4 linked regions of the Neodiprion lecontei genome follow. The protein of the gene in region 4 purifies or fractionates together with the protein of the main gene of each other region. This does not show direct contact. Links are inferred from orthologs where the notes say so. Each region holds a gene or a part of one and is shown on either strand. Other genes may lie near its edges.

Region 1 (7,680 bases), on a different chromosome or scaffold from region 4:
ACTTTTGTCGGGTTCAGTTAATCAAACCTTTTGTCTGTTTCGACTAATTAAACTGTCCTTTTTTCGTTAATTCTATTTTAATCTGTTCTAGGTAACTGAGTTTTATTGATACAAAAATAAGATACAAACAATCGCCCTTCATCCATAATTAAAACAACCATCTTTCATCCATAATTAAAACAGTCATCTTTCATCCATAATAAATAGTTAACGGGTCATATGAACTGAAAAGTTTCGAACAAACTGCAAACATATGCGAGTACCAATTGATTGGGAAAATCATTTAACCGTAATTAACGTATGAAAAAAGTAATTTGAAATTTTTCGAAGAACGTAAGATCGATCTTGCAAGTATTCTCCGTGGAGTAGGCCTACTGGGGATACCACGTAAAAAAAAAACGCGCCGGGTGCTCTACCGCTTGCGGTGGTGTGGAAACGAGCATAAGTGAACTCATTTTCACTCGTCAAATACTAAGATATTATAGTTTTTCAAATGAAAATTTTATCTTGTGTTAATTTAACTCATTGTCAATAAAACTCGTGCTTCGATAATGTGTAACGCGTGTGGAATCGTAATACTTTCGGATTTCTCTAGTTTAGTCAGAGTACTAACCGGGTACTAAAAATAACAAAAAGAACTATATTCACATTTTGTATGTTCGAGATACGGGTGATCTGTCTAAAAGCCCCATTGTAAAAGATGGAATGCAGAGTAAGAAATTAACTCCCGTCTTCGCTTTTGGATGTGTATTGTAGAAAATTATTTAAAAATTTTTATGACAAATTTGTATACCCGCTTGATTTCTAGACCACTTAACTGAATCTACTGTTAAATATTTTTTTCAACAAATTATTACATTCACATATATAAAAAGAAAGGCATCTTAGACTCAATTAAAAAGAACAAGAGAAATGTTTTGTCACATTATACATATAAATTTATTTAAAGGAAGTGATTCGTCAAGAACGCAATTCACAAATCAGTTGGAATAAAAAATATGACTTATTGAGTGGGAAAAATTTTTGATATGTCAGCTGCATCTTCTTTTGGAATAAAGATATGAGCCTTGACTGAAGATACATATTATTATCTTCAGTTAAACGTATAAGTCAAGTATTAAAAATATGTACAGAAATTACATAAGGTACATATAGGAACAAATATATATCTCCATCCTTTGATTAACTTCTTCGACTATATCTCCCATCCTTCGCATCAAGAAAAGGTTTCTAACTTTGTTAACAGTAAATCAGGTGCATGTTTATTGTGCGCCTATTTAGATGACATCAATTTTGTCGATCCGATGGAGTTAAATTGACATTGCCGAATTTGGCCTAAATGAATTTGCGTAGTTGAAAAGTATACGGCGTCCATACGGAGTTATATGAAAATATCAGTTTGTTCCCGTTCGTCATTCCATAGGTATAAGAATATTTCACTGCATTATCTGCGTACACGCGGTGAGCGATGGTAACATCAGTTCGTTTCGCCGCTACTTATCAACCGCTTGCCAGATTGAGTCGCGCGTGTAGGCGGGAAAACTTAAAACTAGCTACTCGCCTTCTACATGCTCTAAGGTCACCTTGGCCAGCCACTGATTTTACGAACACATCAGTGGAACACGTAATTTCTGTTGTATGTATCTCATGATCACGGAGTAGTTCGTGATCGTGATAAAGTCTATTCAACACAAGACGAAGTTCGACGTTCAGTTAAATTTATAGGTTAAAGTGTTAAGATTAAAGAAATGGGATCTAATAAGCGGCACAAGACTGAAAAAACTCGTGAAACTAAGAAAAAACGTCATCGCAGCCGTTCTAGATCGCACTCTATAGAACGTGAAAAAGTCGACAAACATAGGCATCACAAAAAACATAAAAGAAGAGAACGCAAGGATCACGACAGCGATGGTACTAACCTCTTTTAGTTTTTTCCTTCGTAAACGTAACTATTATCCTACACCTTTAAAGGTAACAAACCTTCACCAAAACACCTACACATGCATAGATTTAAAACTGATTGTTCAAAGCTACCCTAAAACCGTAATAGTTCTCATATATTTTTTACAATGTAATGTTCGTGCTATGTACTTCAGAGGACTACTAATCCAAGTCTATTAGTAAAAATTATTGCGCTATTGAGTTGAATTAGCGCTTACTTTTATATTGTATAGTTGCAAATTTAATGTACATTTATACTACTTAATAATATCGTGTATTAAGAAACTATCCTCTTGTGTTTATAGTTGAAATTGTCAGCGCTCCACCACCTCCAAAAATATCGAGAATACCACATGCACTGACGCCACCACCTCCTCCAGAAATATCTCGTCAAAGGAGTGCATCTCCAACCAAAGGAGGAGCAGCGCAGACATCATTGTCAGTTGAAGAAACAAATAAGTTACGAGCAAAGCTTGGTCTAAAACCTTTAGAGACCAGTACTACCTCTGTAGATGATCCTAACAAAATCAAAGATGATTTAGGAGAATTTTATCACAAGCCAGCACCAAATACTAGCGATAAAGTAAAAACGCAAAAGATCAAAGATAGACTGAACACGCAGAAGGAAAAACGACAGATTGAATCCAATCTTTCAAAACTCAAAACTTTGGGCGAAAGCGATTCAGATGATGACGCCAAGGCTTGGGTGCAAAAAAACCGTCTCCTTCAGTTGGAGAAAAAGAAGGCTGATGAAAGGGTAAATACAGAATACTTGACCTAAAGCTTAAAGGCATTATTTCAATTTATGCCAGCACCGTCAAGTTTAAAATTAAAATACTTATGAAATAATGCTGTAATAATTAATTTGCATTTGATGTTATTAGTATTTTATGTTATATTTTTAAATAATCTTAATGCTTGAAGTAGAGCCAACCACTCTTGTATTATATTAATAATGTGTATTTGAAAACTTTCATGTAAGAAAGTCAAGCACGATCATCTATCCATTTAAAGACTATTTCTAATTTCATTATTCAGGCAAAAATGTTGGATCAGTTGGACGAAGAGTTCGGTATAGGTACTCTTGTTGAGGAAGAGGTTCAAAGTGAACGTCGTTCAGCCTACTCGAACAAAGATTTACGAGGGCTCAAAGTCGAACATGACATGGTAAGTTTGATATATTCTGTCGAATTGAAAAATCTTTACTGTAATTAGGATTTATTATGGGTTTCAAATGTAGCAGTTGTAAATTTAATATAGTCATGTTCCATGAAATATTGCATTTATTTTGTTAATAACATGTAATGATTAAATCGAAATTTAATTATTTTTGTTACAGGATACTTTTGAGGAGGGCAAGACCCTTGTACTGACACTCAAAGATCAGGCAGTTTTAGATGAGCATGAAGATGTACTAGTAAACGTAAATATGCTGGACGAAGAGCGTTATTCGCGCAGTAATTTGAATAAAACTAAAAAACCTGGGTACGATGCGTATGATGAAGACAATTTTGATGAGTTTGGATTCCCAGTGAAAACGGTTCTAGACAAATATGATGAAGAGATAGATGGACAGAAGAAGGAAAGTTTTGCCATTGGTTATGATAATGCTAAAGAACGAAAACAACGACAAACTGAAATTGTAAAACACCGCCTAGCGAACAAAAAATTGGAAACACTAAGGATGCCAGAGCTACAGTTAGCTAGTGAATATTACACTGATGCAGAGTTGGCAAAGTTTAAGAAACCCAAGAAAAAAGTAAGATAGTATTCAACGTCTAAACCTTTTGTCGCAACTTATTCTAACAATTTAGTCAGTTCTATATAATTTTTCGTTTTAAAATCATGGTAAATAGGAAAAAATAGATCATGTGACTTGATACTGAAATAAAGCAATAGATTAATGGAACTTAATATAAAAATAAAATTATCTGAACATTTTATTTAGTGTTTAGAGTATGGTTTATATTAATTGCAACTTTTAGATCCGAAAAATCAGACAGAAAAAGATGTTGAAGGCAGACGATCTTGTTCCTGATACAACTGATTATCTCAGAGATTTAGGAAGTCGAAGGAATTCAAGACATAAAGAAAAAAAGGATCATGAGGATCCTGAAAATCTTGTTATGGATGTCGATGATACAGAAAGTAAATTTATTTTTCAACAATATAATCCCTACTTCCTTTAATTTAATTTACATCAATTACATTTTCCTTGGAATTTAGATACAAGTGAAGACTTGTCGGGTGTTAAAATTGAAGATGATGACAGAGAACTCGAATGGCAGTTGGCATTGAAAAAAGCACAACGTGTGAAACTAGCACGTCAAACTGGGGTAGAAAAAGTTGCTCAAACAATAAAACAAGAAATTGACAATTCAAATGACAATCAAGTTGGTAATATTGTACTCAATGCGACTGCTGAATTTTGTAGAACATTAGGAGACATTCCAACTTACGGGCTTGCTGGAAACAGGGAAGAAAATGTTCAAGAACTCATGGTAACGTGTTTCTAGTAATTATTTATCTACTCAAAATCTTTCAATGCATAACAAGTATTGCAACAGTTCATCATGTTGATCAGGACTTTGAGGCTGAGGGGATCAAAGATGAAACGGTAGATGATGGAGAAGATGCTGATGGCCGTGGAGCTTGGAATACAGTAAAAATAGGTAAAAATGCATTTACTTGACTAACGTTCTACTTCCTTTCCTGATAATTGTTTAATTATGAACTATCTTTATGCCTTATCAGTATTTCAATAAAATCTCAAAATTTACCCATACCTCAAAGATGAAGCTGCAGCTGAGCCAATAACACTGGAGGCTGCAATTTTGGATGCAGAACCATCGCTTGGACAGGGTGTAGGCGGTGCTCTAAGACTTGCAATGAGTAAAGGTTATTTACAAAAAGAGGATACTAACAGACCTTCTGCATCCCGTTTTGCTCATTTACAGGCACAAAATTATTCTATTGAAGATAAAACTTATGGGTAAGTACTATATTTGATATTATAATACATTCGAATTTTCTCAAAGATAAAAAAATAAAACAATAATCATTATTTTAAACCAATATACTATTATTTTCAGTTTTTTTTCTTTTCTTTGTACACTTTTACCCATTTAATTTGTTTTGAATGTAACTGTTTTCAGAAGATTCTGATCAATTAATTATTTTATAAATGCAGGGATGATGACAAGTTTGGCAGAAGAGATAGGTTTAATGGACCAACTTCCGAATTCAAAGAACGAGACGGATTTAAGCCCAATGTCAAGTTGGAATATATCGACGATGATGGACACGTTTTGAGTGCCAAGGAAGCATTCCGATATCTTTCTCATAAATTTCATGGTAAAGGTCCTGGGAAGAACAAGGTATATTGAAAAATATTTTAATCTATTTATGTAGAACAATGCATGCTAATGATATTAAGCTTTATAAATTTATAATAGGAAATGTCAATTCAGAATTTCATTTATAATAGTTACTATTTTGTAGCGCTGCAATAAATCTGCTATTTACCCGATTTTGAATGCAATGCGTAATATAATTATATATGTATATTCTGATCATTGATGAATCAATGATAATTTCATGCCATGAATTGTTAATACTTTTTATAACTAGGTGGAAAAGAGAATGAAGAAATCTGAGCAAGAAGTATTGATGAAGCGGATGTCTTCTACTGATACTCCACTAGGTACACTTAATCTATTGCAAGCTAAGCAAAAAGAAACACAATCTCCATACATTGTGCTGAGTGGCAGCAAGCAGTTGCAAACGTAAGTTTTACACAATATGCTATTCATGGGAAATAACTTGGTTAATACAATTTTATATTGCGTGAAAAGTTTCGGTACATTCCAATAGTTGATGTGTGATAGAAAATTCTTCCTCCAATAACTTGGTGTAGGTAATAATTTCAATGCATCATATTATGATATGTTGTGCACAAAGATACTCACTTAGAATCTGAAGGCATGGATAAACTGGTGGTAATGTGCTCATATAACGATTTTCAGGACGAGCATATCAAAGACGAAGCATTAAAATTATCAATTAAAAGATGGAAAATCAAGATGTACATTATTATACATAATGTAATATTAAATCTCTGATAAGGTTTGCGTAAGGGTGAGTGTTCTAAAGCTCAGTTCTCAGGTATCTTTAGAATATTACATAAATCAGCAGATCCTATTAAAAAAATTTTGATCATCTTTATAATACAAAACCCGTTTTTATCCTTGTATTATTTACAATTTCATATGTTTAAATGTGTGTATAATTCCATTGTTTAGACGCTTACAATTACCTTTAACACCGTAATGAGGTGTCACAATATCATGATACAATTATTAAAGTTCATAAATTAATTTCGGTAGATAATGAGTTCTCTACCGAAACTAGGAGAATTTATTGTTTGCATTACAGTGTCAAATCAATTATTCAATTGAAACCGTAATAATTTATTCTTAGGAAATAAGAAATTTGAAAAGTATGAACTGGAATCTTCTAAATAATGAAAACTGATTCACTATAGCAATACAAATATTCGAAGCATAAACTGATGATTAGGAAATTTTGAGAGAAAATGTACGAAGAAGTAAACTAAAACAAATAGTAAAAGTGTAAAAAAAAGAATAATAAAATTAGTGACCCAAAATTTAGGATGTTCATTTACTTTTTGGTCGCAAAATTTATACTTCAACTCTATGTCCAAAAATTCCGCCTCGTGGAAAAAGTGATATCTTCCGAAAATCGTATATTCTGTTTGCTACACATATATCAGAAATGCTTGAATTTTAAGTATATATTAATAAATGTCATTTAAAACAATTTAGGTGCAAGGAATTTTAGTTATTACTTTGCAGATTACAAGCAATCAATAGACCTGATCACCTTCATTTTATTTCACTTTGCATGCATGTATATGTAAAACTCGAATGAAACCTTTTTCAATAATAAATAAACGACTTACCTGAATACATAGTTGATTTTACACATGCCGACGTTGAAATTTATCGTTAACTTGGACTTTCATCCGACTTTGTATGTCATTACCAGACTCTCGAATTATGTTATTAAGAAAATTATACATTGAATCACAGTGAAGAATACAACGTTTTGATTAATGTTCACATTTATTAAAACTATAACAAATACTTATAAAGGTTTCTTACTAGCTACACTGCATTGTATGATTGATTGTAGCCTTCTACATAAAATCGTTACCCTAGTTGTTATCACTATTTACACGAGATATGTTTGCAAAAACTTCGGAGTATAAAAAAGTCGGACTTTTCGGGATGGGAAATATCTGAATGTTATTTTTGCATATGTAAAACCGTCACATATATCTAATGTAGATAGTGATTAGCAATGGATCTACAAAATTTATGCTAATGAATAACAATTATGAAGCATACGTTCATTAATGTTAGCATTAAAGCTTTATTTGTGCATCTCGATCGATTATACGCATTTGTGATTCAAAAGCTATTCAAAACGGATGTCTGCAGTTACAGACACGTTCATTTTGCCTAAAAATGTAAAAGATTATACAAACTGGTCTAGGGATTTGGTAGAAGCGGTTTTTATAATTTGGTTTGAAAAAAAAAAGCTAAAAGTAAAATTGGGTTTCTTATGTTTCAAAGTCCATTTGTGTGTATACACTGGCATTGTTCATTAGTTGGTTGATTATTAGCTATAAAAAAATCATTGGCACTCAAAATTTAC
Region 2 (6,353 bases), on a different chromosome or scaffold from region 4:
TACGCTCGCAGGAACTTATGAAACGTTGGCGTTTCTTTTTTCTTCTTATCCCGCAGCAACGGCCAACGGGACCTCCGACCTGCTCCGGTTCCCTGCAAGGCATTCCTCAGGCAACACAGCAACAGCAACAGCAACAGCAGAATTCCAACCCCCAGGAATCGCTGTGCTCCGAAATGGCTCGTGAGCTCTGTCTGGCGATTCGCTGCAATTCTTCAAAGCGCAGAAGACGGGGATGCGAAAAATGCTCGTCAAACAGAGGATCTGGTTACCTCCAAGAAAATCAAACCCCCACACCGATTAACGGGATGAGGTCACAGGTGATTTCGTAAATGCGTATAACGTCTTCCTTGGAAATGCATGCGATTCGAATATGCCTGGAGATGAAATCAACCCTCTAGGATATTTGCAATTACATCAATCGCCGGTTTTCAACGCGCAGCTTAACATCCGCAGATCGAACGTCGAAAGAGTTTGTATCGATGGAAGTTTGCTCGTTCCTGCAGTTGGTTTGTGTGTGTTTTTTTTTTTTTCTTCTTTGTTCTCTTATTATTTATTTATTTCAAACTCTCGAACTCGCTTTCCGCTGCACCTGTAGCTTTTGTTTTTTAGTTTACACCCAGCTAATCGAAAAATAAAGCTGTCGCAATTATCGCTGCGTATAAATTAATTTGTAAAGCACTGAGTATGTACAGTACCACGATAACCGTGTAATTTTGTAAGAGAAAAAACAAATCCCATTTGAAATCGGCATTGTTGTAGGTGTATAAAAAGTTTCGCACAACGGGAAAAAGTTTGAAATTTTTTCAGAGGAGTAGCTTGGGGGGCGCCATCGACCTTCCACCCCACATTCACATGCATCACGGACTTTCGCACGACTTCGACGTTGATTACGATTGAAGATGGCAACAAGTCCGAAGTTCTTCGTCATTCTTCGTTTTACTTTTGAAAAATTTTCACCCGAATTTTTCTCCTAGCGTGGTTGAAAATTTCACGCTTTACGTAAACTTGAGCAAAACTATGTCATTTCAATCGTTTATTACTTATTCATTTTTCCAGGCGTTCAACCGTAAGCGTTAATTCTGTTTTCTGGTACATTCTAATGCGGTCGGTACACGCGCGGTAGATAAATCCGTACGATCTCAGGCAGTTATTCGTGGTTTCACCGTCCTTTGCCAGATCAATTGTCTCAGATCTATAAACGGATTTACAACTCACGTTTGCTGATTGATCAGAGCCGAGTACAATTGAGTTCACTGCACAGAATTATTGTAATATGTAATTATAAACGATTTAGAGGAGTTGAGTTGAAATTGTGATTGTTATTGTTGGAACGACGATACCATGTGAACTATAGTACCTCTTGATACACATGACGTGTTTTACACGTCGTGTATAACGAACAATATAATATACAGGTGAATGGTAATGACGAATCCAAATCGCGATCATGATATATATTTATTGTAAATAAATAGTCGGTATAGATGTATACATACGGATTTAGTATGTATAACGATAAGCGAGAACTTGTCTAGTTTATACATTTGAATTTAAATGTGTAATTATTATTGTGTAATATCATAATAAGACGATGAATGTTAGTATTAAAGAGTACAACTTATAATATTTACACACATCTATACATGTTGCATTCGTGTGAGCTGTGCAGATAATTATGTTTAGGCTATTCATATTGATACAGGTATAATATACGTTGCATAATCCGTGAGAATTGCATTCCGCTTATGGTATTTTTTTCGTATTTCCTTGTACGATTATGCGGAAAAATAATCGAAAATGAAAAACGTTTTTGGAACTAATTTTAATTAATTCTTTTAATAAATGTAATTTTAATTATTTCAATTTTATTAAATTTTAAGTAAACGCAGGCTGGGTATCGATACATACTAAAGTGGATCGTTACACAAAGCGTAATAATAGCCATAGTGGAGTGCCAATGTAGTGGTCGAAACCGAACGAATTAAATTACCAAACGATGTTAAGTATTGCAGCATAAATAGATGTTTAACAAACTTTGTGTGCTTGAAATCTAGCCCAAACATTACTCATCATCTACTGGTGAATATCCCTGGGAAAACTGAACACATGGATTCACAAAAAGGATTGATCGATCGTATTGTCACTCGATACGATTGAGACCGTGGATACGTTGCCGTTCGACGATCAACTTCCTAAAAATCTCTGTGAAAAAAAAATCATTTCATTAAAGGAAAAAAAGTTTTATCGAAGTCATTTTTGAAATCGATAATTATTGCGTATTGGTAAAATAGACAAGCAGCGAATTTGTTTTTCTATTGAATCGAGAGAAACCAATCTATTCTTTCATTTCTTCATTTCTACAGCTGCGATGTTTTGCAACTTCGGTAAACAATGATTACGTAAATTAAGTATAGATCTTATCGCATTGACGCATGATTGTGCAAATATAGTGCGATTGGTTCATCCCTCTTGTAAATCCAGATTCTCTCCTACAATGGAAATGCGCTAGTTGAGTAAATGATAAATGATTAATGTTTTGAAATATATTTGGGTAGTCAAAGTTTCTTAGATTCTCGTTCTTGCTGCAACAACATCAATCGTTAATGTCTGTTATTTGTTTTGCTTCGACCGCTACAGCGGCACTTCGCTATGATAAGCACGCCCTGTATTATGCATTACTTGCCGGATGGTAAGTACCGCAAAGCGTTTACTGAAGATAACTATACATTTTCATTATTTAGCAAGTCCGCATTTGGCAAATTCACCGACTACCGATAAATTCGTCAGTATTTGAACCGACTCGAAGTAAGTTTCATTCGACTCTCGAGTTATTCATCGGTAGTCGAAGAACCTCGATGGTCGGAGGTCGAAAAACTAACAAACATCAATGATGGCGTCCAGGAAACAGGGAAGTAAACTAAAGAGGAAATTAGTGGAACACGGCAGTGATTCGGACGACGATAACGATGGTAACTGTTGTAATTCAAATAATAAATAATACCGTTGTTTTTGTGATAATATGTCTGCCCGAGTAAAAAGTTTTTCATCAACGCAACGGCACATAACCTAAACTAACCTACAAGTTCGTCACGTTCGGCTTGCATTTTATTACTTGATTGAAACATCAATTATCCTCATTCCCAATTAGACATACAGCAAATATATCCGTTTTTGCCAGTAGTAAGTGATTCCGAATTCGGGAAACTTGTTTATTATCTCAAGTGACAAACCTTACCTTGAATCTTTGAGTATAATTCATTGAATGACTTTGGTATCTCGATTTTCATGCCTCGGTATCTCGAAATCATTTACAAACCGATCAATTTTCATGTGGTTCATTTTTATTTTCTTACAGCGCAGCAAAAAACCTATAGATCGAACTCAGAGGCTCCACGTCTGTGCCCTTACCTCGATACGATCAATCGTCAATTCTTGGATTTTGATTTTGAGAAATTGTGTTCTGTGTCTCTTTCCAGAATCAACGTTTACGCTTGTTTAGTTTGTGGTAAATATTTCCAAGGTAGAGGCACTAACACTCACGCCTATACTCATAGCGTCGCTGAAAGTCATCATGTATTTCTTAATCTTCACACGCTTAAATTTTATTGTTTACCGGACAACTATGAAATTGTCGGTAAGTTGACATACCTATATAATATAAATCTTCTGATTTCGACTCAACCCTGACCCTGTTGCTAATGTTTACAGATTCATCCCTTGACGACATAAAGTACGTTCTAAATCCTACTTTTGATAAATGGCAAATTTCTCAGTTGGACAAAAGTGACAAATTATCCAGAGCTATAGATGGCTCGATGTATTCACCCGGAATAGTCGGAATGAACAACATTAAGGCAAATGATTACTGCAACGTCATTTTGCAGGTAAATTTGGACAATCAACGCCAAATATGACACTTGCGAAAAGCAACCTCGATATATTTTTCTGTACAGGCTTTGTCTCACGTTACTCCATTGCGAGATTTCTTCCTGAGAGAATATAATTACTCCCATGTGAAACGACCGCCAGGAGATTCGTCTTACCTTCTAGTCCAGAGGTTCGGAGAGTTGATGAGAAAGTTATGGAATCCCAGAAATTTCAAGGCTCATGTCAGCCCGCATGAAATGCTTCAAGCTGTTGTATTGTGGAGCAAAAAAAGATTCCAATTCACAGAACAAGGTTGTCCAGATTTTTACGATGATTATACGCACGTTTCTTGTCATGGTGAACTCACATTTTTGCGCCACAGGTGATCCGGTGGATTTTCTGTCCTGGTTTCTCAACGCGTTGCATCTGGCGCTAAATGGGACGAAAAAAAAAGACTCTAGCATTATATACAAAACGTTTCTTGGCCACATGCGGATTTATACACGGAAAATACCGCCACTAGAACTGGAAGAGAGTCAACGAAGTGAGCTTCTGAATACACTCGAGTATGGAGAAACCGTAACTGAAAGCCCTTTCTTGTACCTGACTTGCGATCTGCCCCCACCTCCGCTCTTCAAGGACCAATTTACGGAAAATATCATTCCTCAGGTTAGCAAGGCAAATCGATATTGTTGGTCATCACGTAAAACTCGTTCCATTCAATATCGGGCACTTTGGTAATTTTATTCTTTAATTGACAGGTGAATTTGTATACATTACTAAACAAGTTTAATGCAGTAGCCGAAAAAGAGTATAAAACGTACAAGGAAAATTTCATGAAGAGATTTGAAATCACCGAACTACCACCTTATCTTATTTTGTACATCAAGGTACGTGAATAAAATACGATTTACGAACTAATTATTCAAAATTAAAAAAACGATACCAAAAACTTTTTTACACGTTACAGAGATTTACGAAGAATACTTTCTTCGTCGAGAAGAATCCCACCATCGTTAATTTTCCCGTCAAGTGAGTGCTTGCTTGCTTTTGTACTTTTCAATAACGCAATTACAATAATTACATTTGAGTAAAATAATTTTTTCCCCAAATTACATTGCAGAAATGTAGATTTCGGTGATATCCTCACGCCGGAAGTTAAGGCTAGACACCCGTACACGACGTACGACTTGGTAGCGAACATAGTTCACGACGGTGAGCCCGGTCAAGGAACGTACAGAGTTCACGTTTTGCACAGAGGGACAGGCCAGTGGTACGAGATGCAGGATTTACACGTGACGCAAATATTACCGCAAATGATTACGTTGACTGAAGCTTACATTCAGGTAAGCATATCATTACCCTGATGACCGTAATGCAACTTCATAATCTTACACACCAATTTATTGCAGATCTATGAATTACGGAGAGAAGCTGGCTTCGAAACCGAAGGATTCCAGACAGCGAAATAAATAATTGTACAAACAGGGAGGAGGACGCCTAATGAACCATTTAATAAAGTACGATATTTTAAACAATTAATAGCCACTGAACCTTTTCTCCACACAGAGTGTCTTGAAACGAGGAGAGAAGGATAGTAAAAAATCGTGTCACACAGAAACGTCCCTACTTTCAAACCAATCGATCGGAAAGCCAAGGATTTTCATTCAGGCTGAATAGTAATTTTTATTTATAGAAAGATGACGCACGCTCCGGGTCGTTGAACTAAGGTGGCAAAGAAAGAGAAAAACAGTAAATCGATACTGGTGACGCAATTTATTACCCATCGAATACAACTTTCAATTTTTTTTACGAGTAATCGTGCCCTTGAAGACTCCGGAAATTAGCAGCAATCGTTCGGCTGCGATATTAGGAAGAGGATAAGACGTAATGTACGATATTCAGATACATTAATCTATTTACAGATATTGTTGATGTTTTAAAACAAAAATCTGATTTAAAAAATAACGTCGTGCCTCACTTCGAATATACCGGCAGGGTTGCCAAGTCAATCCTGAACCTGAAAAAACAAAGAAGAAGCAAATGAGTTGGAAACAGGATCCCCGGGATCGGCAGTTCGCTTCACTGCGTTCCGTAGCCGTCGTTTGTTCGATACACGTGGAAGTATCGAGTCTATACGAGTCGCGCGTGGCCAATAAATCGCTATAAAACCTTTGAAAATCGCATCGCTCGGTAGTCGTCGGAGGTCACGCGATACGATAATTTCTTAAAAACCGTCAGAGCTTCGGATCGCGTGCAGCCGGCGTAAAAGCTCCTCAAAACATATCCGAAAGCGAACCTTCCGCGGCTTCGAACGCGTTATCGGCGCATGCGCAGAAGCCTCCAGCGCGGCCCGGCTCGACGTGACGCGCAAGGCGGCGGGACAACGCCGAACTCTCGGCAGCGATCGAGTCTTGAGTCGGCTCCGAGCCGTGCGCGAGTTCGTTTCATCGAAAGATAAAGGTATTCGTGTTTACACGCGGTCG
Region 3 (4,620 bases), on a different chromosome or scaffold from region 4:
TTTCATGTAGTGAACTTACTACTCTGTTTAATTTTCATTTTTCTATTTACGTAAGTTGCAATGTTGCACTTTTATAAGGGTTTGTCGATCCACCGTGACTGAGATAATTTCGTTGTTTATGATATTACCCAATGCCAACGGTAGCACTTTACTTTTCCAAAGGTAAATTATCAAAAAGACAAAAAGTTTGTCAATTTGTACTCAACGCTTTGGATACCATTCACGTCCGATCAACCACAATTTTAAAACAGAATGCAGCGTAAATTTAGTCAAATTGAAAATAAAGAAAAAAATGTAACTTCAATATTTCGTAATGGCGAGATTTTTTTAAAATTTAATTTGGTCCATGGGAGGGAAAAAAAAACTTACTGTAGCCATCATCGGCACCAGAAGCTTGCGGTTCATTATTGAATGAACATGTGAACCCTAGAGTTTGATTTCCTCTTTCAATATCAACTTCGAAGCTTGGCTTGCTTTTCATTTCTCCAAATTCAGCCTTGTCTTCTGGGGTGTCAATGTCGGGTTCAGAATCAGAATCGACAGTATGATTGACATTGAAATTTATCGTTATGCTAAAAAATTACGAATTCAGTCAAGTTTTTGTCACAAAATTGTAATAACTATAGCAAGAAGATCGCTAAACAATTTTTGGCTTACGTTTCATCTCCATGTTTTTTGGTGAGCGTAACCTCCGCTCCATCTAACGATATCTTAAAGCCGTCTAACTCTGTGGGAATGGTCTTCATTTTTTGTGCCTTCTTTTCCGCAACAATTTCTTCAGCTAAAAAGAGTCCCAATTCTTTCTCCGCTATAGCATCAACCATGTAAATGACAAAAAATTGCAATTGAATAAATAGAGAGAAAATTATCACTAAAAAAAAAAACCAAATAATAGTAATAATAATAATAATAGTAAATTATATTTCGGGCGGAGAAGTTACGAGGTGACATTGAAAAATGACCCTAACCTTTGGTGTGTGCCTTTCGGGAGCAGCCGCAGCTGCAAAAATCGCTGGGATTTTGAATTTTGTAACTCGTTAGTGGTGCAAGTTCGTTTTGCCGGCTGCACATGTTCCACATCGTTCTTGCGAAATCCCTTCGTGCCGTGCCGCCGACAACAACGGTAGATTGTGTTAATCCCTTGAGAGTTGAGGCCCTCAGAGCGGTTCTGACTAATCCGTTCATCTTTCTGTCTTCTGGCTTATACCGCCGTTGATAATTGTTGTAATTAATTTACACTGTTTTCTAAAATTCGGCTGATGCACGACTTGGCACGGCTCGCGATCAAGCTACTCCTTGCGCGGAAAAGGTTGCGTCAAGGCTACGTTCACTCTTGTATTCTCGTCTTCCTCTACCATACTTGCCTCTACCCTGTTCGCCGACCGGATGTTCACTAAGGTGAGCTCAAAACCACAAACTAGTCAGGTATACTTAGACGCGGATATGGGGTGAAAATTATTATCGTATAATGTGACTTTCAGTGGACTTTCCACGCCGAAGTGCAGGCATTTTTCTCGACGGTTGATGCGTGTAACCTTAGTGACCGGAAGTCGACTCAGTGTTACAAAGAGTTTAGTAAACGCAGCCGCCATTTTGTAGCGGCGCTACTGATTTCGAGTATTCGAGTAATTTCGTCTTCGTTCGGCATGTCGGCTTGTAAACGTAGGAGATACGTTTCGCAAAGATACGTATAGACGGACGAAAATCAGGTGCCAAATAACACCAGTTGATTAATTGGAAGAGCAAATTGGGCGCGATGTTGCTGAACAACTAGCGATACCCTATTTGCAACAGAAACCAAGGTAAATACAACACTCACGACATTCTCGTGATCAAAATGGCTGACGATTTTTGTCCTCACCGCATTCTCGCCAATGAAAATCAACGGTCGGCGTCGATTTTGACTGATCACTAAGCGGAAATTTTTGCTTATATAACCTCAAAAATATCATAATTATTTCACTAATCGAATAAAAGTAATAAAAGCTTTTAAGATCCCAATTTGACAATGGAAGTCAACCATAACCAAAGGATGTGTATTTACAGGCCTCAACGCCGCATTTTTATTACTCAATAACTCTGTAAATGATTGACAGATTACGTGACATTTTCTTGCCACATTGTATTTCCGTATTGATTTACTTTCACGTATTTAATTCGGATTGTATGATATCTAGGTCAATTGGCACGATTTCTTATATGCTCATTTACGTCTAGTTATACTACTTTTTCAACTCATAATTTCTATAATAATTAGCTGATTGATCAAAGATTTAAAAAATTTCTTTTCAGCTAAATAAGTCAGCGTCAAAATGTCTATACCGCCTTACTTGCTGGGCCCAAACCCATGGGCCACCATGATGGCCCAGCAGCAGGCTCACGCTCAGCTTGCAGCTGCGCAAGCTCACGCGCAAGCAGCGGCTCATGCTCAGGCAGCCCATCATGCTCACATGCAAGCAATGGCTGGGCCGCCGCTACCGCAGCTGCCTAAGCAGCCCGAAGTTATTTCCGAAGATAAATTGCAGGAAAAAGGTAAGAATGGATTATTATTGTTAATGTTGGAAAGACAGAAAAGGTCCTCTACGCATGTGTATTATTTTCTAGTGATTGAAGAAAACATCTAAAAAATTGATATATTTCCAAATAACATTCATTGATGAAAACTGTTCACATATGATTAGATAACTTGATTTCGTTATCCCACTTTCTGCAAATTTTAGCTCAAAAGTGGCAGCAATTACAGTCCAAACGTTTTGCGGAAAAACGTAAATTTGGGTTCGTCGATGCTCAGAAGGAGGATATGCCGCCTGAGCACATAAGGAAGATTATTAGAGATCATGGAGATATGAGCAGCCGAAAATACAGACATGACAAACGTGTTTATTTGGGGTAATTATCGTGTATCAGTGTTCAATGAAGCTCTATTTTTTGTTTGTAATTTTGTCTTCACCTTTTGTTATACGGTCATTATATTAATTACAGTGCTCTGAAATACATGCCTCATGCTGTGATGAAATTGTTGGAAAACATGCCAATGCCATGGGAACAAATTCGGGACGTCAAAGTGCTGTATCATATCACCGGAGCCATCACATTTGTCAATGAAATTCCATGGGTCATTGAACCAGTCTATATCGCTCAGTGGGGGTGAGTTTTTAAAGAATTTCCAGCTCTTTGTTAAGAGAGAAAAAAAGGTCAAATAATTACTTCGGCCCAATGTTTGATCGTGATTAAAATCTAGTGAATTTAATTTTAAGAACAATGTGGATCATGATGAGGCGTGAGAAACGAGACAGAAGACATTTCAAAAGAATGAGATTTCCTCCGTTCGATGACGAAGAACCGCCTCTAGATTATGCAGACAATGTGTTGGATGTCGAGCCTTTGGAAGCCATACAAATCGAGCTTGACTCGGAGGAAGACGAATCGGTTGCTACATGGTTTTACGAGCACAAACCTTTGGTTGGGACGAAGTAAGTAAATGCTTGATTATGATGCTGAGCTCAGCTGAAATTTTTCTTGAAAGTGAACTGAATTATTTCATTAGCAATATCAGGACCTTTCGCAGCTTTGGCGTCAATATATGACCTGCTGCCCAACTCCTGACAATATACGTCATTTATACACCAATTTCATGATGAATCGCGTAGGGGTCCTGAAATCAGTCATTCATGTGGTCTGACGGTTGCAGCGTTGTTGTTTGCTTGTCTGAGATAAAACAAATGCAACGTTGTGATTGGATCAAACGCTAATCTGAAATAGACTTACGTATATACTCAAAATTTAGCAGCCTGAAGAAACATGACCAAAATTATTTCATGCAACGAAATTTTTCTAATAATTTCCAGGCATGTTAATGGATCAACTTATCGTAAGTGGAACTTGTCCCTTCCACAAATGGCAACATTATATCGGTTGGCCAATCAGCTGCTGACTGATTTGGTTGATCAAAATTTCTTCTACCTCTTTGATCCAAAGTCGTTCTTTACTGCAAAAGCTTTGAACATGGCCATTCCTGGCGGTCCTAAGTTTGAGCCCCTTGTGAAGGATTCAAATGCTGCTGATGAGGATTGGAACGAGTTCAACGACATAAATAAAATAATCATCCGACAACCAATTCGTACGGAATATCGTATCGCTTTTCCTTATCTGTACAACAACATGCCACACTTCGTTCATCTTTCGTGGTAGGTAGTTTTACTTGCAGATTATTTTTTAAATTTCTGAAGATTCTGTTATTATATTGATATCCACACCAGTTTTAAGACAATATTAAAATTATATGTGGTCTTACTAGCCGTGTGGTAAAATATTTAGTGATCGTTATTCGTCACCCTCGTAGAGGAGAGAGGGCGACTGCTGAAATCACAGACAAATTTTTAACTTTAACAGTACTATCCTTGTATTTGTTTAATTACATCCTGGTCGCAGGTACCACGCTCCTAACGTTGTCTACATCAAGACCGAGGATCCAGATTTACCTGCCTTTTATTTTGACCCATTGATCAACCCGATTTCACACCGAAATTCATTGAAGGTACATCCATTGCACTTTAATAAATGCTGTGTAGAGATTATCATATTTGATTTCGAGCTGTTCCACGTCGACATCCCTGTTCA
Region 4 (4,694 bases):
GGAGAAACAGATTACCAGTGGTGGTACCACCAAAGATAAATACAAAATAATCGACTCTTGCACTTACAATCGTTTCATGAAAGCTCGACAATCGAACCAACCTGTTACAACAAGAAATTTGCAGCAATGGGGTCTCGCTGCTGCCAGCCAACTTCCGGAATTAAAATTCCAGGCTTCCGAGTCATGGGCGAAACGTTTCAAGCAACGGCACAAAATTCGACAACGAACAATGAAAAAGTATGTACCGAAGAGAGAAACTACTGACATCAAAGAAACTGGAAACGGGCATGGGCTTTGATACTGAATTAAGACAAGGATTTTGTCATTCACACTGACTAAACAGGTATTGAAATCATATTCATTACTACTATTCGTTGTTTGAATCATATTTTGTTTACAGAAATTGGGGAAAAGTTAGTATGCATAATCAGTATTTTGTATTATAGTTGGCTCATTTTCACTAGGTTGTCAGTACCAGTCAACTCTTAATTCAACCCCCGCCAAGCTAGAATCAAAGGTGGTGCTGATTAAATGAAGACACGAATAAGGTGATGCATTTGAATATGGTACAATATGCTGCCAGCCTATGCGGAAAACTGCTTTCAACCATTGTTCGTGTGTGCCAAAGACGACTTGCAAATTTAGGCCCAGGATGCAAAAATCAGCAGACGTGCATGCAAAAAAATATTCAAACGTTATGATATCAGGAGATGCTGTAATACGTGTAATATGCTGCCAAGTTATACAATGACAGAACATCGTTCATAAACATAAACCCAGTTTGCTTCATGATAGACGATTTGAAGAATCCACAGAAAAAAATCCAGAACAGTAATCTGAAGTAAATTGAATTTAATACATATAATTCAACAATATTATATATATATATATATATATATATCTTTAATATGTTTAAAAAAAAAAATGATATACAAATTTCTGTTCCAACGTTTTCGATTTTAATTTTTCCAAAACCGGTTAAGAACCACATTTTCCTGCCTGCACCTGTTACACCCCTAGTCATGGCCTACGCGTATACTCAAGATGGACCTACTCAGCGTTCCATGCAGGTTCATAGAGTTTCCTTGTGATGATGAAATTCACAGAAGCCTAAGGGTACAGGGCTAAAAGTAATTAGAGTAATTTTAATTAAAGTACGTGGTTCCAGAAAACTCATTGCAAAAACTGAGATAATTATAAGAATTCTGAAAATCATTTTTATTTATCAAGTACCTGTGACTTTCAGATTATCAAAGGGGTAATTTTACAATTGCATTAATTAAACTTTCAATAATGTTAACATACATCCTATAACATGTGTAGAAATATGATAAATCATATTCTTTGTGAAATGTAACACAATGTAAGATGGCGGCGGCGTCACCGGTGAACTGCGAATTAGCCGCGACTGTAGCAGTTAAAAGACGTACTGTGGTTGAAAGCAGTACCAAACAGGGAACCAGTCGGCCTATAGCAGATTTCAGGCTCTGTGCAAGGCAATCGAGGAATCAGTTGTAAACGCCAAACGCAATTTGAAATACCTAGAGAAATACAAAGTCATACGTCGTCGGAAAATCTGAAGAAGCTCCGTCGATAAAAAAGTGCTTGTGCAACCTCCCGCGGATTCTGATCCTTAAACCGGAAATACACGTTATATCTTGTTAGTCGTTCGGCGAGTAGTCGAAGCTTGTGCGGCCGAGGAGAACGGAAATGAAAATGGCGGTCTGTTGAGAGAGTAGCGTTACGTACGAGAATCGTTTTGCGGTTTAATAAGTGGGATTTTCTTTGTGATAGTTTGGAAAAGCCAAGATGGGGTGAGTTGGACATTTAATTCTAATCCTAATTTGGCTGGATGTACCGATTAGTTTTCATAATTGCCCTCGTATCGCTCGTAATACGCTCATGTGTTTATTTTGGCTGCCCCGAAACAAAATACATTCGTTAATTCATCGTAAACTTCTGAGAAAATCTAATCATTTTCATTGAGACTGTTGGCGCAGTTATTTCTCGTCTAACACCTCCGTTTTTTTGTACTCATACTTTAATATAATTTACCACAATTCGAACATACCTAATTATATCTGGACCAAACCTAAAACCTAGCAATCTGCGATCTTAAAGGTCAGTTTATGCTCCCCAATTCTTAATGTCAAACAAGGAAACCGAAGAGCAGACAACCTTATACTTTAGCTCAGATCTGATATATCGGATTCGGATTTTAATCCACACGTGCAAATGACTCTTCACTGCTGTTGTGAATCTTCTCAACTATGTATTAGGTAGTCAATATCTGTTATTTCTTAATTATTAATAAGCGGTAGCTTAGTTTGATTCCCTACTATAAATTCTGTGATCTGTTTTACATTGCTAGAAGTTCGGACTTGGAATGCATTGATCCAAAAACTGATTCGATGGATGAGTCTGATATAGCGGTATTAGGCGAAATGAAAAAAAAGAAGAAGAGGAAGCACAAACATCACAAGCACAAGAAGGACAAAACTGTGGAGAAAGAGGAAAGGATTGATCGGCAAGAAAGGTAAGACTATCAAGCATTTCTGTAATTTTAGTTCTGAAGATAAATAATAATGATTGTTATACCTGTAAACAAACCATACCTAAATTTTTAATAGTTTTTAAAAAGGGATTATTTGACACAATTATGATAACGCCAAGATATTGTTATGCCTGCATATGTCATTGTAGAGTATGTTTTTTAGAAAGAAACATAAAAAGCACAAACGTCCAAAAAAGAGCAGGGACAATGAAAATGGTTCTGTTGAAGAAAAGCCACTCCCAGTTGACGTCAAGTCATCCAACATCCATAAAAATACAAATGTTCCTAAAGGGACCAACATGAATGGCAAAGTGCAAGCTTCGCAACTTGAGGTAGTTTCCTCTGAGGAAAGTGAAGATGAAAAACTAATCGACTTGGATTCGGACGAAGTTGACTGTACTATTATCGAAGACGACATTGATCTCGAGGAATTAATGAAACAGAAGGTAAAATTAGTACATTTGTCCTTCTCTCAGTAATCATACTCATAACTCATGTAGGGTTATTATTGAAAAATACGAATCATGAGTGATAAAAAAAAAAGAATGATTATTGTTGTTTTCTTTACAGGAAAGACTTCAGGCATGTTTAGTGCAATATTTATCTGATGATTCTGAAAAAGAGGGTAAAACTCAACTGCAGGAAGGTGTAATGAAAGTGGCTGAAACACCTGATATAATTCTAGTCGAAGATGATAGCGAGGATAGCATATGCCGTAAGAAGCGTCCAAGGAGTAGATCAGAAAGTAGAGAGAGAAAACGAGTGCCCTCTTCAAAACTTGAGAGGCGTGTAGTTGTTGATATGTCCCGAGACAGACGGGGTCGCGAGGAGGCGAAGGACAAAAGACGAGATACTGACCGCAAACGAGATGACAAAGTTAGGGGTAGAGACGAACCAAGGCGGGAAGACAGGACATCGAGAAAGACAATTGAACGGGCTAAAGAGGATGCAAGACGTGAAGAATCACGCAGGAGACTGGATGACGAGAGGCGAAAAGAAATGCTCAAGAAGGAGGAAGAGCGCAAGAGAGATCATGAACGAAGGTAAATTAAGACCTCTGATGTTATTCAACTACCGATGTTTTCGTAATGAATATAGATTGATTTTTATTACAGGGAAGAAGAGCGCAAACGTGATTCTGATAGGCACGCTACAAGGCGAGAACCTTCACCTCGCAATGGATCCAAGGCCAGAGACATAAGGTCAGATTCGAGACACCGTACTATAAAATCAGATAATCACGATACCTCAGGTGGTAGGGACCGGTTCTCTGGTCGAGAGAAGAGGGATAGCCGAGAACGTCAGTTGAATCGTGACCATCAATTGAATCGGGAGAGACAAGGAAGTCGGGAAAGAAGAGACAGCAGAAATCACGATAGAATACGTGAAAGGTCAAAGAGTAACAGAAGGTCTAGAAGTCCCATGAGAAACAGGAATGACAGAAATGACAGAAATGAGAGAGCCGAGAGGAATGAGAGAAACGACAGAAATGACAGGAATGACAGGAATGATAGAACTGACAGAAACGACAGAGATCGTCTGGACCGTCATCGAAGGTCTAGATCTATCTCTAGAAGCCGTAGGGATAGAGATAGGCATGGACGCGATGGTGAGCGGGAGAGGGACAAGAATGGCAAACGAGACAAAAATGATAAGTACAAGGATTCCTTGTCAGAGGGTTTGAAGGTAGAACATTCGGAGAGTTCCAGCGAAGAGGACATCAAAGACATTGATATCGAAGAAGAGGAAGATGAGGAAGCAATTATCGAGCGGCGAAGGAAGCAGAGAGAAGAACTCCTGAAAGTAAGTATCCAGGTTCCACAATTTATCGATTTTTACGAGAAGAATTTATGTAGAATTTGGTCGTGCCAAAGCAATCGAGTAGGCATGCATCCACATTGTGTTACCCAGATTCTTATATTGTGTATTACAGAGGTTAGGAGGGCCAAGCGAAGATTCAAATCTCTCAATGGAGTTGAACACAGTAGTTAGTTCACCACCGTCAGACAATGTGTCAGTTGAGTCCCACAAATCAGTAGATATTATTTCAAACAATAATGAATCAAACTCAGAGAGCCACACTCCACCATTACCAGAAAAACCAAAATCACCTCAACAATCTATGAAAAAGCGAAAATCC

Evidence for each region.
Region 1: the proteins of serine/threonine-protein kinase PRP4 homolog (region 4) and U4/U6.U5 tri-snRNP-associated protein 1 purify together in Homo sapiens (affinity purification with mass spectrometry; 3 studies listed by BioGRID and IntAct, with this or other methods). This does not show direct contact. The link is inferred for Neodiprion lecontei from reciprocal best matches to the Homo sapiens genes PRP4K and SART1.
Region 2: the proteins of serine/threonine-protein kinase PRP4 homolog (region 4) and U4/U6.U5 tri-snRNP-associated protein 2 purify together in Homo sapiens (affinity purification with mass spectrometry; 3 studies listed by BioGRID and IntAct, with this or other methods). This does not show direct contact. The link is inferred for Neodiprion lecontei from reciprocal best matches to the Homo sapiens genes PRP4K and USP39.
Region 3: the proteins of serine/threonine-protein kinase PRP4 homolog (region 4) and pre-mRNA-processing-splicing factor 8 purify together in Homo sapiens (affinity purification with mass spectrometry; 4 studies listed by BioGRID and IntAct, with this or other methods). This does not show direct contact. The link is inferred for Neodiprion lecontei from reciprocal best matches to the Homo sapiens genes PRP4K and PRPF8.

Annotation. Positions count from the first base shown.
Region 1 is NC_060262.1:28,400,345-28,408,024, reverse strand, and holds the start of U4/U6.U5 tri-snRNP-associated protein 1, read left to right. Parts: upstream 1-1,662; 5' UTR 1,663-1,748; coding exon 1,749-1,911; intron 1,912-2,246; coding exon 2,247-2,698; intron 2,699-2,979; coding exon 2,980-3,108; intron 3,109-3,280; coding exon 3,281-3,700; intron 3,701-3,926; coding exon 3,927-4,089; intron 4,090-4,167; coding exon 4,168-4,442; intron 4,443-4,525; coding exon 4,526-4,613; intron 4,614-4,734; coding exon 4,735-4,933; intron 4,934-5,131; coding exon 5,132-5,318; intron 5,319-5,571; coding exon 5,572-5,726; intron 5,727-5,966; coding exon 5,967-5,994; 3' UTR 5,995-7,680. UniProt on the Homo sapiens protein: Plays a role in mRNA splicing as a component of the U4/U6-U5 tri-snRNP, one of the building blocks of the spliceosome. May also bind to DNA.
Region 2 is NC_060260.1:4,204,704-4,211,056, forward strand, and holds U4/U6.U5 tri-snRNP-associated protein 2, read left to right. Parts: upstream 1-1,995; 5' UTR 1,996-2,887; coding exon 2,888-2,969; intron 2,970-3,355; coding exon 3,356-3,634; intron 3,635-3,708; coding exon 3,709-3,884; intron 3,885-3,953; coding exon 3,954-4,179; intron 4,180-4,249; coding exon 4,250-4,536; intron 4,537-4,628; coding exon 4,629-4,757; intron 4,758-4,837; coding exon 4,838-4,899; intron 4,900-4,990; coding exon 4,991-5,213; intron 5,214-5,279; coding exon 5,280-5,339; 3' UTR 5,340-5,387; intron 5,388-5,563; 3' UTR 5,564-5,835; downstream 5,836-6,353. Other genes in the region: glutamate receptor ionotropic, kainate 2, read left to right, coding at 57-317, 454-510, 808-897.
Region 3 is NC_060264.1:1,831,796-1,836,415, reverse strand, and holds the start of pre-mRNA-processing-splicing factor 8, read left to right. Parts: upstream 1-1,602; 5' UTR 1,603-1,802; intron 1,803-2,292; 5' UTR 2,293-2,312; coding exon 2,313-2,532; intron 2,533-2,720; coding exon 2,721-2,889; intron 2,890-2,982; coding exon 2,983-3,147; intron 3,148-3,257; coding exon 3,258-3,473; intron 3,474-3,848; coding exon 3,849-4,187; intron 4,188-4,431; coding exon 4,432-4,537; intron 4,538-4,620. Other genes in the region: complement component 1 Q subcomponent-binding protein, mitochondrial, read right to left, coding at 370-572, 658-808, 969-1,185. UniProt on the Homo sapiens protein: Plays a role in pre-mRNA splicing as core component of precatalytic, catalytic and postcatalytic spliceosomal complexes, both of the predominant U2-type spliceosome and the minor U12-type spliceosome.
Region 4 is NC_060261.1:1,567,898-1,572,591, reverse strand, and holds the start of serine/threonine-protein kinase PRP4 homolog, read left to right. Parts: upstream 1-1,691; 5' UTR 1,692-1,809; coding exon of another isoform or gene 1,810-1,814; intron 1,815-2,121; exon of another isoform or gene 2,122-2,158; 5' UTR 2,159-2,235; coding exon 2,236-2,279; intron 2,280-2,371; coding exon 2,372-2,536; intron 2,537-2,717; coding exon 2,718-3,000; intron 3,001-3,124; coding exon 3,125-3,597; intron 3,598-3,669; coding exon 3,670-4,357; intron 4,358-4,487; coding exon 4,488-4,694. Other genes in the region: uncharacterized protein LOC124293103, read left to right, coding at 1-298. UniProt on the Homo sapiens protein: Serine/threonine kinase involved in spliceosomal assembly as well as mitosis and signaling regulation. Connects chromatin mediated regulation of transcription and pre-mRNA splicing.